2 linked regions of the Astyanax mexicanus genome follow. The protein of the gene in region 1 interacts with the protein of each later gene in a pairwise test. Links are inferred from orthologs where the notes say so. Each region holds a gene or a part of one and is shown on either strand. Other genes may lie near its edges.

What was found. The genes of interacting proteins can lie anywhere in the genome.
Region 2: the proteins of plekhf2 (region 1) and frmd8 interact in binary tests that used the Homo sapiens proteins (3 or more experiments, as listed by UniProt). The two-hybrid records come from large-scale screens. The link is inferred for Astyanax mexicanus from reciprocal best matches to the Homo sapiens genes PLEKHF2 and FRMD8.

Annotation. Positions count from the first base shown.
Region 1 is NC_064413.1:18,442,118-18,449,295, reverse strand, and holds the start of plekhf2 (pleckstrin homology domain-containing family F member 2), read right to left. Parts: upstream 3,052-7,178; 5' UTR 2,549-3,051; intron 1-2,548. UniProt on the Homo sapiens protein: May play a role in early endosome fusion upstream of RAB5, hence regulating receptor trafficking and fluid-phase transport. Enhances cellular sensitivity to TNF-induced apoptosis.
Region 2 is NC_064427.1:12,714,547-12,722,466, forward strand, and holds the start of frmd8 (FERM domain-containing protein 8), read left to right. Parts: upstream 1-4,817; 5' UTR 4,818-7,920. Other genes in the region: uncharacterized protein ehbp1l1b, read left to right, coding at 557-671, 1,583-1,670. UniProt on the Homo sapiens protein: Promotes the cell surface stability of iRhom1/RHBDF1 and iRhom2/RHBDF2 and prevents their degradation via the endolysosomal pathway. By acting on iRhoms, involved in ADAM17-mediated shedding of TNF, amphiregulin/AREG, HBEGF and TGFA from the cell surface.

The DNA of each region.
Region 1 (7,178 bases):
CATGACATCAGTTGCCATAATAATAATGTATGGCATGTGTTTAGTGCACGGCATATACATATATTAACAGTAGGGCTGGGAGGTTAATCAAATTAATTAGATTAATTTTAATGGGATTTTTAAAAATGGGATAATCAAAATTGTACTTTGTATCTTTACATTGTATCTTAACATGTAGAAGCTGCCAGAAACCTATGTTCATGTAGCTTGCCATCAGCTGCCGGAGCCCTGAGAGAGCACAATTGGCCTTGCTCTCTCTGGGTGGGTAGAGTGCGCTCTTTTCCCTCATAACTCTAAAAGGGTGATTTAGCTCAGCACAAGGCGTCTGTGGGCTCATGTATCGGGACCGAATTACTGTGCTTTCCTCTGAGTGCGCTGGCAACTCGAAAAGAGGCGGTGGCTGCCTTCACATGTATCGGAGGAGGCATATGCTAGTCTTCACCCTGCTGGTGTTGGGGCATTACTGGTGATGGGGGAGTCCTAATGAGAGGGCTGGGTAAGTTATGTAAGAACTAAACATCTGAAAAGTAATTGAGAATAGCTCATATTATTACTTTTTTTACAATATTACCCAATAACATAAAACAGCTAATAGCATAAAATATTTCAATAAGCACTCTTTTTTAAATATTAGATTTAAATCTGTATTAGCCAATATTCAGGGTTTCAGTATCAGCACAGGTGGAAAAAAGAGGTATTACACCATCTCTACCCACAAGGAAGACCCACATAAATAGTAGTTATTTTACAAAGTGGGATTTTTCACTGGGACAAATAAATTTATATCAAAGTTGAGAATTGCCCAGCAGGAAAGTCCCTCTCCTGTTTTTTCAGTTTTGACATCTAACCGAGTAAACTGCACATATCTGTTCAAATCAGGATAAACATTTAGCTGTTCATCTCTAAACATGCATGACCTGTCTGTAGTGCCTCAATTTTGATCTACTGGTTTTTGTGTGCTTAGGTAGGTTAGTTAGATAACCTAGCTAACAAGCACAGGAAAACTGTTGGGCGGAGAATAATAATAAAAGTATATGTACTTTATATGAATAGAAGAGGTTAGGCATATTTTTTTTTTCTATTTATTTTGTTAACCTAGCTAAAGCTAACCACCTGCAACTTTCACTTACCTACACTAGACTGGGTGAACTGAGTGAATTGTGTAGACTGTGACTCTAAACGCCTATAACCTGAACTACTGAGAAACTCAGAATTAACCCCTTAACAGGCCTTGGTCCATATATGGCCTACACATGTAGGTGATTTCAAACCCCTTTTCTCTGCACCAAAATAAAAGCTGCTTGTTCACTCTCTACTCCACCTGATAATTTGTTTAAAAAATGTTTGAAATTAGACATAAAAACTAGATAACGTAACAAAATAAAAGTTCAGACATAATAAAATAAAAAAAAGACATTAGGTGTTTGATTTGTATTCATGAAGCTTAGAAATTAGCCATTTTTGTGATTTTTATTCACTATATTTTTATTTACAATAGTTTTATTGTTTACCGTTACAGATTTAATTAAATATTGTTTCAATATTTTCTAAAGAAATATATATAATTTAGATTTTCAGTAATGTTTCTTATAAAATTTGAAACCTATTTATGTAATGCTTGGATAGATAAGTTTTCCTCAAGATTTAGGCGTGTAACGTTAATATCAGGCAGAAAATTGACAGACATAAAAAGAGATTAAGGTAGTAGTAAGTATCAACATAGCGTTAGATCCCATATTCTGCTGTTTAGTTCGCTAGCTATAATGCTCCATGCAAGCAGCTGAACTCCAGAAAAGTTGCAGAGACTGATATAACTAAAAAAACAGGCTTTGCTAATGCAGAACAATTACTCGACCAACAAGTTGGTTAGCTTAAGTGACAGAGGGCGGACAGCTCTTCAGTTTCAGTCACCCTTAAAACGTCTAAAAACTTCCTAAAATACCAAAAATAATAAACACTGTGTACAAAAACATAAACGACTCAAAAATCCCAACTAACTTTTTAATTTAAAGACAGTTACTCGCTAGTTACTCGCAGTTTGGTGGTCCTCTCGATCTTGATGTTAACCTAGCGCTAGCTTTAGCCAGCTCCACGAAACCGAGCTGGTTTCAGTCCTTAGGGAAGTTAAGCAAGCTAGTGAGCAGTTAGCCAGATCTATAGCTGTCTAACCTAGGTAGCTAGCTAGTTATTAGTTTGTAGCCAGATGCCATTTACACAGAATAAAGTAATATATATAAGGTACATGATGTGTTATTCGGGGCGGTTTATAACGCTAGCTAGCTAACGTTAGTTGCCTTGCCAACACTTTGAAAGAAAGTAGTTAGCTAACTAGCTAGGTAGCTATAGTAAACACCGTTAGCTATCATATCGTGAACACACGAATTCAGGTTGTTTTAACCGTTTCTAAGCCTGCTACTTTGGTAGTTTCGTACACAATTTGGGCGCAACAGTTTAGCCAGGCTACTTAACTCACATTCGTTTCACACGACTGGTTAACTAGGCTTAGTAACTCCAGCTTAGCTAGCGTTAGCTAAAGTTAGAAACTTACCCAGCACCGCGGCAGCGGCGGGATTAGCCCGGGCAATAGGGCAAATAGGGATAGAAGTGTCTCTCAGTAACAACAGTCCGGTTTAAAATCCAAACCAAGCGCTCTTAGCTAGTCCCCGTCCTTATTTTCTGCTCTTCCAACTTCTCTGGCACTGTTTCTCACAGCCAGGGTAAACTTCCAGCCCCCTGTGAGCCGCAGCAACAGCAGCAATATGGCTGAGTGTTTGGTCCGGAGGAGGAAGGGAAGGGAATGTGGGCGCTACTGAGTCAGTGTGGGAGAATAGAGCCGCTCTCAGCGCTTATTTACACTGATCCTCTACTCCTCCAGCCTGAATACTGGACTAAGATTTATGAACAACCCCGCTGCACTGCTCTCACTGTGCGTGCGCGTTTATAGCACGAACAACAGCCACACGAATACACACACTGACCTTATATTAACACCATCAGCCAGCAGTCTAGCCTGCGCTAGAAGCTCTCGCTGCTATTTTAGGAGTGCTCTCTCTCTTGTTGTATGTCTGATGAGAGAAGCAGAGCCACAGGCTGCGTCTGTAAGGAAGTAGCTAATCTAGTTAGCTAACCCACTACTGAAGCACAGTGTGACACAGAGCTACATTACTCCATTACAATACACTCTAACACTAACACAACTAAGAACTACAGGTGCGCTCTCAGTAAGTTACATACAACCATCATCTATTTCTCACTCGAAAAAAAATCATCCAGAAAGGAACACATAAGGAATCCTAAATTACTATAAACTTAAAAGCGTTAAACAAACCAAAAAACTCTTTGGTAGGGGTGGGCCATTAAAATAATATCATGATATTTCATGGTATTTTCACTATAACAATACTCTTGGCGATATGACAAAACACTGAATTATTATTTTTTTTTTTTCCAAAATACACTACTGCAACAAATAAAAAGTAATTTTATTATTGCATTCAATATGATATGGCACAACCCTAACTGAGATATTAAAAAATACAATAATTTTATCCGATTTGTAACAGAAGTCAATGATCCAGAATGTCATGATACTTATAATTCACTTCAAATATCTCCAATATATTTAGGATTAAAGTAAAATAAATGATACTTTAAAACATTTAGGAAGAAATAGGAAGACAGTTAAATAATGAATTCAGCACAGCTGTTAACTGAAAGCCAATCCAGACTCTAATTCATAAAGCTGACTGAGAAAATCCAGCCAAGATGTGCAAAGCTGTTTTCTAAGCAAGAGGTACTTACTTTAAATAAAATATAAAATATATTCTGGTTTGTTTAACACTTTTTGTTTATTGAATAATTACATAAATTTAGCTTCATAGTCTGAATGTTGCTAAAATAGCAAGATGAATGAAAAAATAGAAACACTACAGGTTTCAACTTTCAGGTTGATTTCTTATTTAAGGGTCTCATCATAAACATGATATCTTACATTGCATAATGTACCTTAGATTGTAGCTTGTTACCACTGTTTAGTGAGATATGTCTGTTTAACGAGTTAATGAGTTGTATCTACAGATCCATTTGCCCAGCCATTTTAACTCCTTTTTAACTCCTAGCTATTAATGCACCTTACCTATCTCCATACTGCTAGTCACCTGTGGCTTTTCATGCCTCTGTTTTCCTAGTGTGTCTTATTGTCTGATAGATAAGCCTTATATCCAATATGTTCCCCTTAAAGGCTCTATCTATGATCATTTCTGCCAGTAGATGTTGAACAAGGGCATCAGCATCTCAGACCAAAACAAATGCTTCACATATGGAGGTGAGCAGTTCCTGTTTTGGGAAAAACAAAAAACGAGTAACAGACCTGCTACGAACACAAAGACCATAAAACAACTGCCAAAGAGGGTGTGTGATTTTGCTTGACTACATCTTTATATAAAGTTTGTTGTTTGCTGCTATATTAATGTTTAAAATGTTGGATATATCACCTTTAAGGTCACATGAAGGCCCTGCATTTTTCGCGAATTCATGACAATTATACTATTCAAAAAAATGAAGGGATGCCTTTTAGAGAGATTCTGTTCTATGCTTTGATATTTTCCTAAAAAACTTATGCACACATCTTGGACTACATTGTAAGATCACAAAGAAGTGTTATTTGTAAATGCGGATGTCTGTATATGTCACTCCGAGCTGCCCATCCATTTAAAAAAATGCTTTATTGTTTCTTTTTTTTTTTAGATTTCCTGAAAATAATTTACACCATGTATATATCGACCTATTCAGAATGCAGCAGTTTAGCCCTGGCCATTCACTCTAAAGCAATTGCTATAAATGCTGCATTTATGTAGTATTTGAAACTGAAAAATTGCAAAGTCATATTTACTTCATATTTATTTATGTGTAAATATCATATATGAGTGAATATTATGGCCCTATCATTATCTAAGCACAACTCCAAACTATTTAAACTTGATTGCTTATTGAATTTAGTCATTTTCAGGAAATATATATTTGTAGGATGAGGACAGGTGTTAACACCCTAATTAAGTCATTGGATTAAGTTGTTTCAAGTGTTACAAGCACAAAGATGGGCAAAGAAACACCTAAAAACCAGATGTTTCAATAGTTTAAATAAGAGTGATGCTTGATGGAAAATCTGAATGGACCCATGTCTGGATCACAAAGGTCACCACATTAGCCAGACACCAGCAAGGTGAAGAAAGGGTTCTGGCATTGGCTGCTATTATGTTGAACTACATGGACCTTTCCGGGTTCAAGATGGACTGAAATATCAGGTCCTAAATTTACAGCATGCTTTTGGAAGATATTTCCTACAACAGTAAGATACTTTCTTCATGCAGGGGAACAGGTCAAAATCAGCAGCCCCACAGGTTCAATGTTAGCTTCATAAACGAATGTCAGTAGTGGGTCCCATCAGGCTCAGTGATGGAACCAGAAGAAGTTAAACATGGGCCCCATATGGGTTGTGCACTGTACATGGGGCCTAGATAGCACCCATGTGAAATTAAGGTGGGTTGCATTGATAGAGGCAATTTGGTTAGTCCAACTGGATTCCAGTAAAAGCCCACATGTCACCCATGTGAAACACATATGAGAATGTTGAACTGTTTTAGTGCTTGACAACAGACATTGCTCTATTAGCCTATATCTGAACGTCATTTCATTCAAAATATGTAAAATGAAACAGACTGTTTCTGTTGTATGGCCACACAAATATATTTAATTATTTCTTTTTTTATTTTAAAGCAACAACAGGTTTCTCAGTAGCTTCATGGATGAATTATTTAATGCTGAGTGTAACACAAATAGTAATATAGTGGTAATTTTCCATTAAAACGGTTCCAGTCACAAAATTCACAGATATATATAACCTTTAGCATCCCTCGACAACAGATAATATGATAGCAGTGGGGTTTTGCTGCCACCTACAGGCCTAAGAGGCTAATGCACTTAATTTGCTCTAAATGCCAAGATAAATCTGGAGATAATTAATTTGAGAGTAAAAACTTAATGCAAGCAGATAATACAGTTTATTTTTTTATTAAAGAAAAAAAAATGTGATAATGTTTCTGGAGCACTGTAGTGTTATTAGCCTGGACAACACTTTGAATGTAGCACAAGGCAGCCAATCAAAACAGTTCACTTTTTAATTTGGGAACGGTGTCATAGATACACTATAGGCTATATACGTATTCTCTCTTTCAATGTTATTATATACAGTTTCTGTCAATTGGTATCAATATTGCTGAGTGATAAATTAAAACAATAAAACAAAAAATACTGAAGATTAAAATAATCTGATTTTGTTATTCTATGAAGAACATTATAGAGAATGAACAGAAAATGCTAATCTAATTTCATGAATTTGATCACCATTAAGCTGTGCTGGATCTAGTGAGCCCAACAACAGATCCGTCAGCCAGAAAAAAACAGCAACATCTGATATCCAGATCCTGATACACACAGCGGGGTTTAAAAGTTCCTTTTATGTGGGCATTGAACGTTTACATATTATATGAAAATCGATCTAAAATTAAGCTATTAAAAACCGATGCGAAGGGCAGTCTCGCCTTCACGCGTACTTCTTGGTGCCATCTTTTTGCGCGCGCAGCGATCACACACATACACAAACATATACACACGCGCGCGCGCGCGGGATAAGCCTCACACACTCCCATGGATTTGACTCCTGAAGCCCGTCTCCAGGCTCGGAGGTAACTCGCACATCGCGCGCAATTCGTGCTCCACCGAGTTGCATAAAAAGGTTAGGCTGCGTTTTAATGTCATGCTCTATCAACACACTCAAGCATTTGATTCCATTGCACATTGTTTTTGTATTTTTTGTGTGGAATTTACATCTTATCTTATTTTATCTTCTTCATCTTATGAGATTTATATGTTCTTTTTTATTCACAAACCTGATTCTGTGTCTGGTTTTATTGGTTATTGTTATTTTTACCGCCGTCACTGCTTTTACCATTAAAATTTTCCTTGGGCTTTTGTTGTTTTTTCATTTTGTTTGTGTTTTCTCCACAGTTTTTTTACACATCTTCATAAACAATTTTCATTTATTTTCCATTTCTCAGAACTGTGTTTTTTATGTAATGTAAATGTAATGTAACTTTGTTAATATGCCTATCATGACAATA
Region 2 (7,920 bases), on another chromosome or scaffold:
GTAATTCAGAGGATCCAGTGATGTTAACGAGAAAAATGTACAAAGAAATAACCATACAGAGTTCTGAACATATTTTTTTACCACATAATGTTGGTCATTTAAAGATGACGTAACGGTGAGGTATGTTTTGTGTTAAGCACCATGCAGGTATACTGCGGTCAGACTTTCTGCAGTCAAACGTATTTTTGTTCTCTTTCCTTCATAACTGTAGACCAATGTTGTGCATTTGTCAGATTTTCCATCTTCAAAAGTAGCTAATGCTAGCATCACATCTACACCTTGTTTTATTCAGTCTTGCACACAGATACCCAGGCAGAGCAGCAGCAACTGGTTAATCAGCTCTCATTAAAACAGCAGAACACCCTGTAGTCCACTTTCTGCTGTATATCAGGACTATATCAGATGTTTTATTATCATCACACTGATTATTCATTTATTCAATATATCTGTTTTATTGTGGAATAGTCTCTATAATCATTGTTTTTACAACCGAAATGTGTAATATATTTGTAAAATCTGGGTTTATTGTGTGTGTGTGCTCGTTGTGTGTTGTCAGAGTGGAAAAAGAGTCAGGCTCAGCAGCTCCGTGAGCAGCTACTCTTGCAGGAGTTGGTCAGTCTGGTTAACCAGAGGGATGAACTAGTCAGGGATATGGATGCTAAAGAGAGAGGGTGAGTCTTAAAATTATGTGCTACACACAAACACACACACACACACACACACACACACACACACGTACAGTGGTGTGAAAAAGGGCAAACACAAGATCATGATTTCTTATTTTTCTGCATGTTTGTCATTCTTACATGTTTCAGATCATCTAAAGACAACACAAGTAAACTCAAAATGGAGTTTTTAAATAAGGGTTTTAATTATTGGGGGAGACTGAAAATTCAAACCTTAGGGGCCCTGTATGAAAAAGTCTTTGTTTCTACTTATAATATAATATAATATTATAACTTATAATATGAATTCAAGCCCCACTAGGTAGGATTTCCTTGATTTTTTTTATCTTTTTAAAGAAGTAAAATTACAGCTTGAAACTCACTGCAGCGCTGCATTGAGGTGTAATAGGAGGAATAGCGGTGCTCTCGTGTCTGTGCCGGAGCTTCTCTGAGCTCAAACTAGACTCTAAGTAAGTTTTCCGAGGCGGCCGCGACCAACGCTCGCGAGAACTGCGACCTGCTTTCCGACCTTTAGTTCTAACAGTTGTACAAGGACTACTGGTTCATTCTTTACAAACTAACATACAGACACTCTGGCAGAAGCTGGAAAGAGACCGAATATGTCTGTGAAAGCCAGAAAACGAGAAAGAAAAACTAATCTGCCTAAAACATTTATTACACTCTGCAACTGTAGGGGGAGCCCACGAGCACGAAATCTCAATCCTACCTAGTGGAGCTTTTAACCATGTAGAAGTGAAAAACATGCAAAAAAATGTTTCACACCACTGTATATACTGTTTCTCTCATTCCTTTCACTTCACTCCCTGTGTCTATTTATACACACTCTCACTAATCTAATTGTGTGTGTGTGTGTGTGTGTGTGTGTGTGTGTGTGTGTGTGTGTGTGTGTGTTTCAGGGCATTGGAGGAGGACGCTCGACTGGAGCGTGGTTTGGAGCTCCGGCGTCGGAAGTACAGCAACAAAGAAAAGTGTGTGCTGCAATAATCAGCCGACCTACAGCAGTACATCTGAAATACATGCTGAAGGACCCGGTCACCAAGTTAATAGAGCACTGGACACCAAAGAGCCTTCTGACCTCTCTCAGAAACCAGAGAATAGCCTGATCATCTGGACAATCAACATTACACTCAGTTTTACAAGAGAACCCGCTTTAGATAGGAACGTATCCGTAAAATAACCTTTTCCGTTTTAATTTTATCTGCTGCCAAAAAGACCTTGCACGAGGAGAGCATCTCTGTTCTCTCTCTTCTACTCAATTGTTCTACTGTATTTAAGTGAGACTGTGTCATATGTGCTGTTTTACACTTATCCACATAGTACCTACTGTGTTGGGATGTCCAGATCCAGACACAGTTTTATTAAAAAAGGTGTTGCCTTTAATAAGTAGAATGTGGTGTGATGTTCCAAGCTTTTTTACCACTGTGTTCTATAACCTTCTGGTGCCATCTAGTGGCCATTGAGATACATTATTTCCAGCCTTAAGCAGTGTCCTTATTCTGTACACATTAAAGAATGATTAGAGATACAGCAAACATGCAAAAAGTGTTAATATGAATGAGTTCTAGCAAACCACTCTGAGACCCTCTAAAGATTAGATTAGATCAGTATGAGAAATAAGAAATTCACTTTGATCAGATTTGAATGAATCTGAATTAGGACATCTCTAGTGTGAACGCTGTCCGAGAGAGGGATTGCTTAGGTATTCCTCTGTCCTGCACTGATGTTCATCTTCTTATAGGAATGTTATTTTATGATGAAAAAAAAAAAATAAAACAAAAAAGCTGCTAAATGAAGAACATTAGAGAGGCTTTTTTAGACAGTCTGTTCAGATTAATGTATTTGTATTACTTGCTGCCGTGCCTTACACGTTTGATACAATTTTTTTGTTTTCTTCTTTTTCATTTATAAACTTATTTATAAGAATGTTTTATAGATATATTCAAAGTACCTTTGTTACCCTTTTCCCCGTTTATCTATATTCACTGATTTAAAGCTTGAGTTAAGAACTGCCAGAACCGTGGGTTTCATTGTTCTGGTGGGTTTTAATATTGCGGTACTATTTCTACTGTGCAAACTAAAATCATTTGCACCTTACAGAATGTTGTGTTCAATAAAACTGAATATTGTTTGATCAGCTGCCTGTTTGAGTCAGCCTTTTATACTTTAATCCGTTTGCAGGTACATAATTGCTTTTTCTAAAAGCATTAAATGGCCAAGAGTCTTTCAGAGTGGGTTTGGTGTAAAAGTCTTCACTCTAAATAGTCTAAATAGTTCACAATGGTGCTAAATGGAATCAGCAGTCTGAACCTTTTAAAACTCTGTCTCAAAAATAGAAAGAGATGGAGAAAGAACAAAACAAAGACCAAGGTGAGGGAGTGAAAGTACCTATGTATGTATCCTTTACACATACACTTGGTTTAATCAAACATACCATTTTTGCTAATTATATCTCTGCTGAAAATAACAGATCAGGCCCAGCTTGTCTCTTTATTATATTTGCCATCATTATATGATATGATTTAGTTTGAGTTTGATGGCTTGGCTGCTGTAAAAGTATAGCTTTACCATGCAGATAAACCAGCACAACCTAGATCAACAAGCAGATCAATAAGCAAGACCATTCAGGATCAAATGTAACACTATGCTGGTCAATAACTGGTTAACCAACTGGACAACCAGCATAACGTATTGTTGTGAAGATTGGATGAATAAATGTGTGAAGATTATAGGAACAGTGCCCCCTAGAGGCCAATAAGTGGACTACATGTGAGAGTCTGGAAATTTCCATTGCACATGCTCTGTTTAGAAGGTGCATAGCAGAACCATGAGGAGCCAGTTCAGCAGCTCCTGAGGTCATTGAGGGATATTTGTTATTTTGTGGATTTTGTGACTGTGTGCGTCTATAGAGCCGTAAGTAGAGGTGTTCTGTGTATATTACAGTGATGGTGGTTAAAAATGTTGCACACTTGAATGTTTATTGGTAAATGTTTATTACTTAGTTAAGGCCAATGCATTGGCTAGACATGGGGTGCACAGTGACAACTAAAAGTGTTGCCTAAGACATGCAGGGGTAAACATCTTGAGGACCCTTCATGAGGTTAATAACAGAACTGGTACCAAAGAGAAAGCTGAGGCTCCCACTGAAGTTCTGTACTTGGATCGGCGTGCTGGTTGCAATCGGGTCCTTCTCAAGATCAGCAAGGTGCTTCTACGAAATGGTGAAAACACCCTAGAGACTTATGCCATCCTTGAAGATGGCTGGGAGAGGACAGTCCTACTCCAGGATGCTGCCCAAAGGCTAAAGCTCCATAGCAATTCAGAGAAGCTGACATTGAGGACAGCACGACATGTTGTAAGAACACTGCAGGGTTCATCAGTGACATTCACTATTTCTCCTGTTGATCAACCAGCAAGAACATTCACAGTGGAAAGGGCATTCACTGCTGCACAGCTGGGACTGGCTGCACATACTTACCCAGTGGAACATCTGAATAGAAAGGTCAAGCACCTTAAGTCACTTCTTCTGGAGTGCTTTAACAATTTGAAACCACTCCTCCTCATAGGATCTGACTATTCATACCTGATAACCCCTGTCAGGCCAGTGCATCTTGGACCTCCTGGTGGTCCTGCAGCTGTGAAAACACAGCTCGGCTGGATGCTGCAAGGGCCAGTGAAGCACATGCAACAGCAGAACATGTCCCAGCAGTGCCTGTTCCTGTCTACTTGCTCTGCTGTTTCTGATCACTACAGTCAGGTAGAGAAACTTTGGCAGGTTGACAACCACCCTTTTCAGAGTGAGAAACTTGTGACTCGATCACAGAGGGACCAAGAGGCTATTAACCTGCTGTAAGACAAAACACAGCGAGTCGAAGTTGATGGGATACACCGTTATGCTACACCCTTGCTGCGAGTTAGAAACATGTGTAGCGCCCCCTAACTAGGGGTTACCAGACTACGCCACCCCTTAAATTACTTATTTTATTTAGAGTAAGGGGAACTCTCAATTAAGACACACAAGAACTTGACTGTAGTAGAAAATACAATGATTTATTTAAAACTGTATCAAAGTCACATCCACTGTCAGTTTTATTTATTAGGTGAGAGGAAAATATATATATATATATATATATAAATAAAAGAAATTAAGAAAATCACAAATTACCCAACTATGACCACTAGGTCCAGGGTATGGGGCAATATGAGGTCAATCCAATAGGACTAAAATAACACACGTGAATAAAGTTTAACTAATCACTGCACAGCAAACTTAAACAAAAAAAAAGCAAAGCACTAAAAATCACACTTCTAGTGAACAGGACTTGATATAGCCAAATATGGTTGACTCCAAACCCCCAGTCCCAGTAACAATTATAGCCACAGCTAAAATAAACTAATTGTACCACGTAGTTACAAATAGGCTAGAGTCTATACAGAGCAAATAATTAAAACCACATTACCTAAAATACCTGAGCAGTTAATACACTTAGTGCTACAAAATTTGTTATGGTAGAATAAACAAAATAAAAAAAAGAAATGCAACAAAAACAGAAAACAGCAACTGGCAACCACTGGAACTGTGGCTCTCTATGCAAATACACAAAAAACACATTAATACATTCATCACATGAAAACAGTGCAAATTGCATTCAAGTACAAGAGGAGACATACCACTTAATTCAAGGTGGAATGCTAACTTCGCCCATGGACAGGGTAGCAGCTTTAAACCTCTATTAAAAATAGATTACACACAAAATTAGTTAAAAACACGATATAAAGCCCATTTTGCATCCTGTTCAGAACATATTGAGACATATCTTACCTAAAGTCCCCAGGTGACCATTCTAAAACGGTACTAGTGTTAAATATAGTAGTAGCAGTTAAATAAAGTAGTAGCAACCAAAGCTAAAACACTTAAACTATTACAGACACAGCATATGGAGCTAAAGCAGCCCAAAAGCATAGAGTGTCTAATAGTGTACAATTAAAATGCAACAGGCATTTGCCTACTATTACAGAACTTTAAAAAGTGCAATAGTTTAAGCCTACCTGATCAAAATACCTTCAAAGTTAGTCAGGATAAGTAGAAATTAACAAGCAGCTTAGCCAAGAGCTAACAAACAAAGAGTGTAAATTACCTCAGCATATCATATAATTAGCCAGCCTACCTCTTATATCACTAGTGATGGGTCTGACGACCCTGAAACCTCAACACATGCGCCGAGCTGTCAAGGCGAAACCCCGTGTCGGTGCGTGTATCAAGTTGAGGAAAACCACGTGACCGATACACTTCCTGTGTCCTTTGGTAGCGATGGGTCTGACGACACTGAAACTTCAGCGCATGCACCGAGCAAACAAGGCGAACCCCTGTGTCGGGCCGCGTATCATTTTAAGGAAAACCACGTGACCGATGCATTTCCTCGCGCAGTTGCTTGCAATGACTTTCTTAGTCCAGCAGATGTCGCCATTAAGTGATACAGCAACACAGTTTCAACACAGTGTCGATACAGTTTGGGAAATGTGCCATACACACAATGAGGCTTCATCTGCCCATCACTATATATCACGTCGCCAGGCACAAACACAGACTGTTGCTATTTATAGCCACTCACAGCTGTTCTACCCCAACTGCGTGCAACAGAGAAGCGACTCCTCAATGATTCAGTGAAGGCAGAAGTCTATAAAGCAGAGCTAAAGAAGTCCTGGTTCACCCCCATCACTTAGTGACACACAATGCTTTCTGGCCCAAACCTGGGGCCTTCTCTTCTTAATGTCCTGCTGCGGTTGAGGGAACATTCTATTGCCATCAGCAGTGGCATAAAGGGCATGTTTTCTCAGGTTAGGCAGCTTCCTGAAGATTGTTCCCTTATTTGCTTCCTCTGATGTGATTTATGAAGAAACTCCCAACCCGATATCTTTGAGTGGCAAGTCCTTCCATTTGGGACAACATGCTCACCATGTTGCACCATTTATGCTCTTCAGCGGCATGTTTGTGACAACAGTTCTGATGGGGATGATGTCTGTCATTCAGTGCACAAGCACTTCTATGTTGACAATTGGCTCCAGAGTTTCCTTACAGTAGAAGATGCTCGGACTGTGGTGGACAACATGAGAAGGCTGTTGTGTGAAGAAGGCTTTGAATTGCGTCAGTGCTACAACACCTAGACAACATCAGCTTACTTTGTTGCTATGTGAGTGCCAAATTGGACCACATTCATAGCAAGCATGAGGTGCACATCGTCTGTGATGCATCAGAAGACACGCATGGGCAAGTAGAGGTGGACTTTCTAACAGCTTGTTTCAGAGTAGCCCCCAAACGGCAACTCTCCATACCTCGTTTGGAGTTGTGTGCAGCCCTTACTGGGGCACAATTAGCTAAGCTGCTGCAGAATGAGCTTACTTTGATCATCTTTAAAGTCATCATGTGTACTGATTCCACAACTGTTCTTTCATGGATTAGATCAGACTCCTGTTGTCACAAAGTGTTTGTGGGCACCCGCATTACAGAGATACAGTAGCTGACTGACACTCAATCCTGGCAGTATGGGACATCTGCTGAGAACCCAGCTGATGACCTTACACGGGGGAAGTCACTGGCAGATATAGTAGGAAAGAGTCAGTGAGCTAGTGGTCCCCTGTTTCTAGCTTTACTACCTGACCAATGGCCATCTAATGTCATCAAGCCCTAGCATTGAAGACTGTAGTGATCTATGTGGAGATGCAATCTGTCTGCTGACAACAATAACCTCTGCCCATGCCATCCCTGGTGCTCAGCAATTTGACAACTGATTGTCAAATACAGTGACTTAGTTGCTGAGACAGATCGATGTATTCATGGGGCGGCTGTAGAAGTAGAGGGAAATCCAAAAGAAGAGCCCTTCAAAGAAGCAGAACTCAGCCTTTTAAGATCTGCACAACTGGATAGTTTCCCTGAGGAGGTGCAGTGTCTTGCTGCAAGAAAACCACTACCCTACTCTGTTGACCTTGATGCCGGAGTTTGATCATGATCTGCGACTTATTCGTGTGGGGGGTCGGCTGATGCAACTTGAGACTGACATGTTTCATCCCGTTGTGCTGGATCCAAGGCACCCTGTAACCAAACTGATCATTCAAAAGACAGACAGAGACTTAAGGCATCCAGGTGCAGAGCATCTGTTTGCTAAGAGCACTCCGATCAGGGCACTAACTTCAAGGGAGGAGAAAGGGAGTTGCAAGAAGCATTCAAAGCCCTACACCC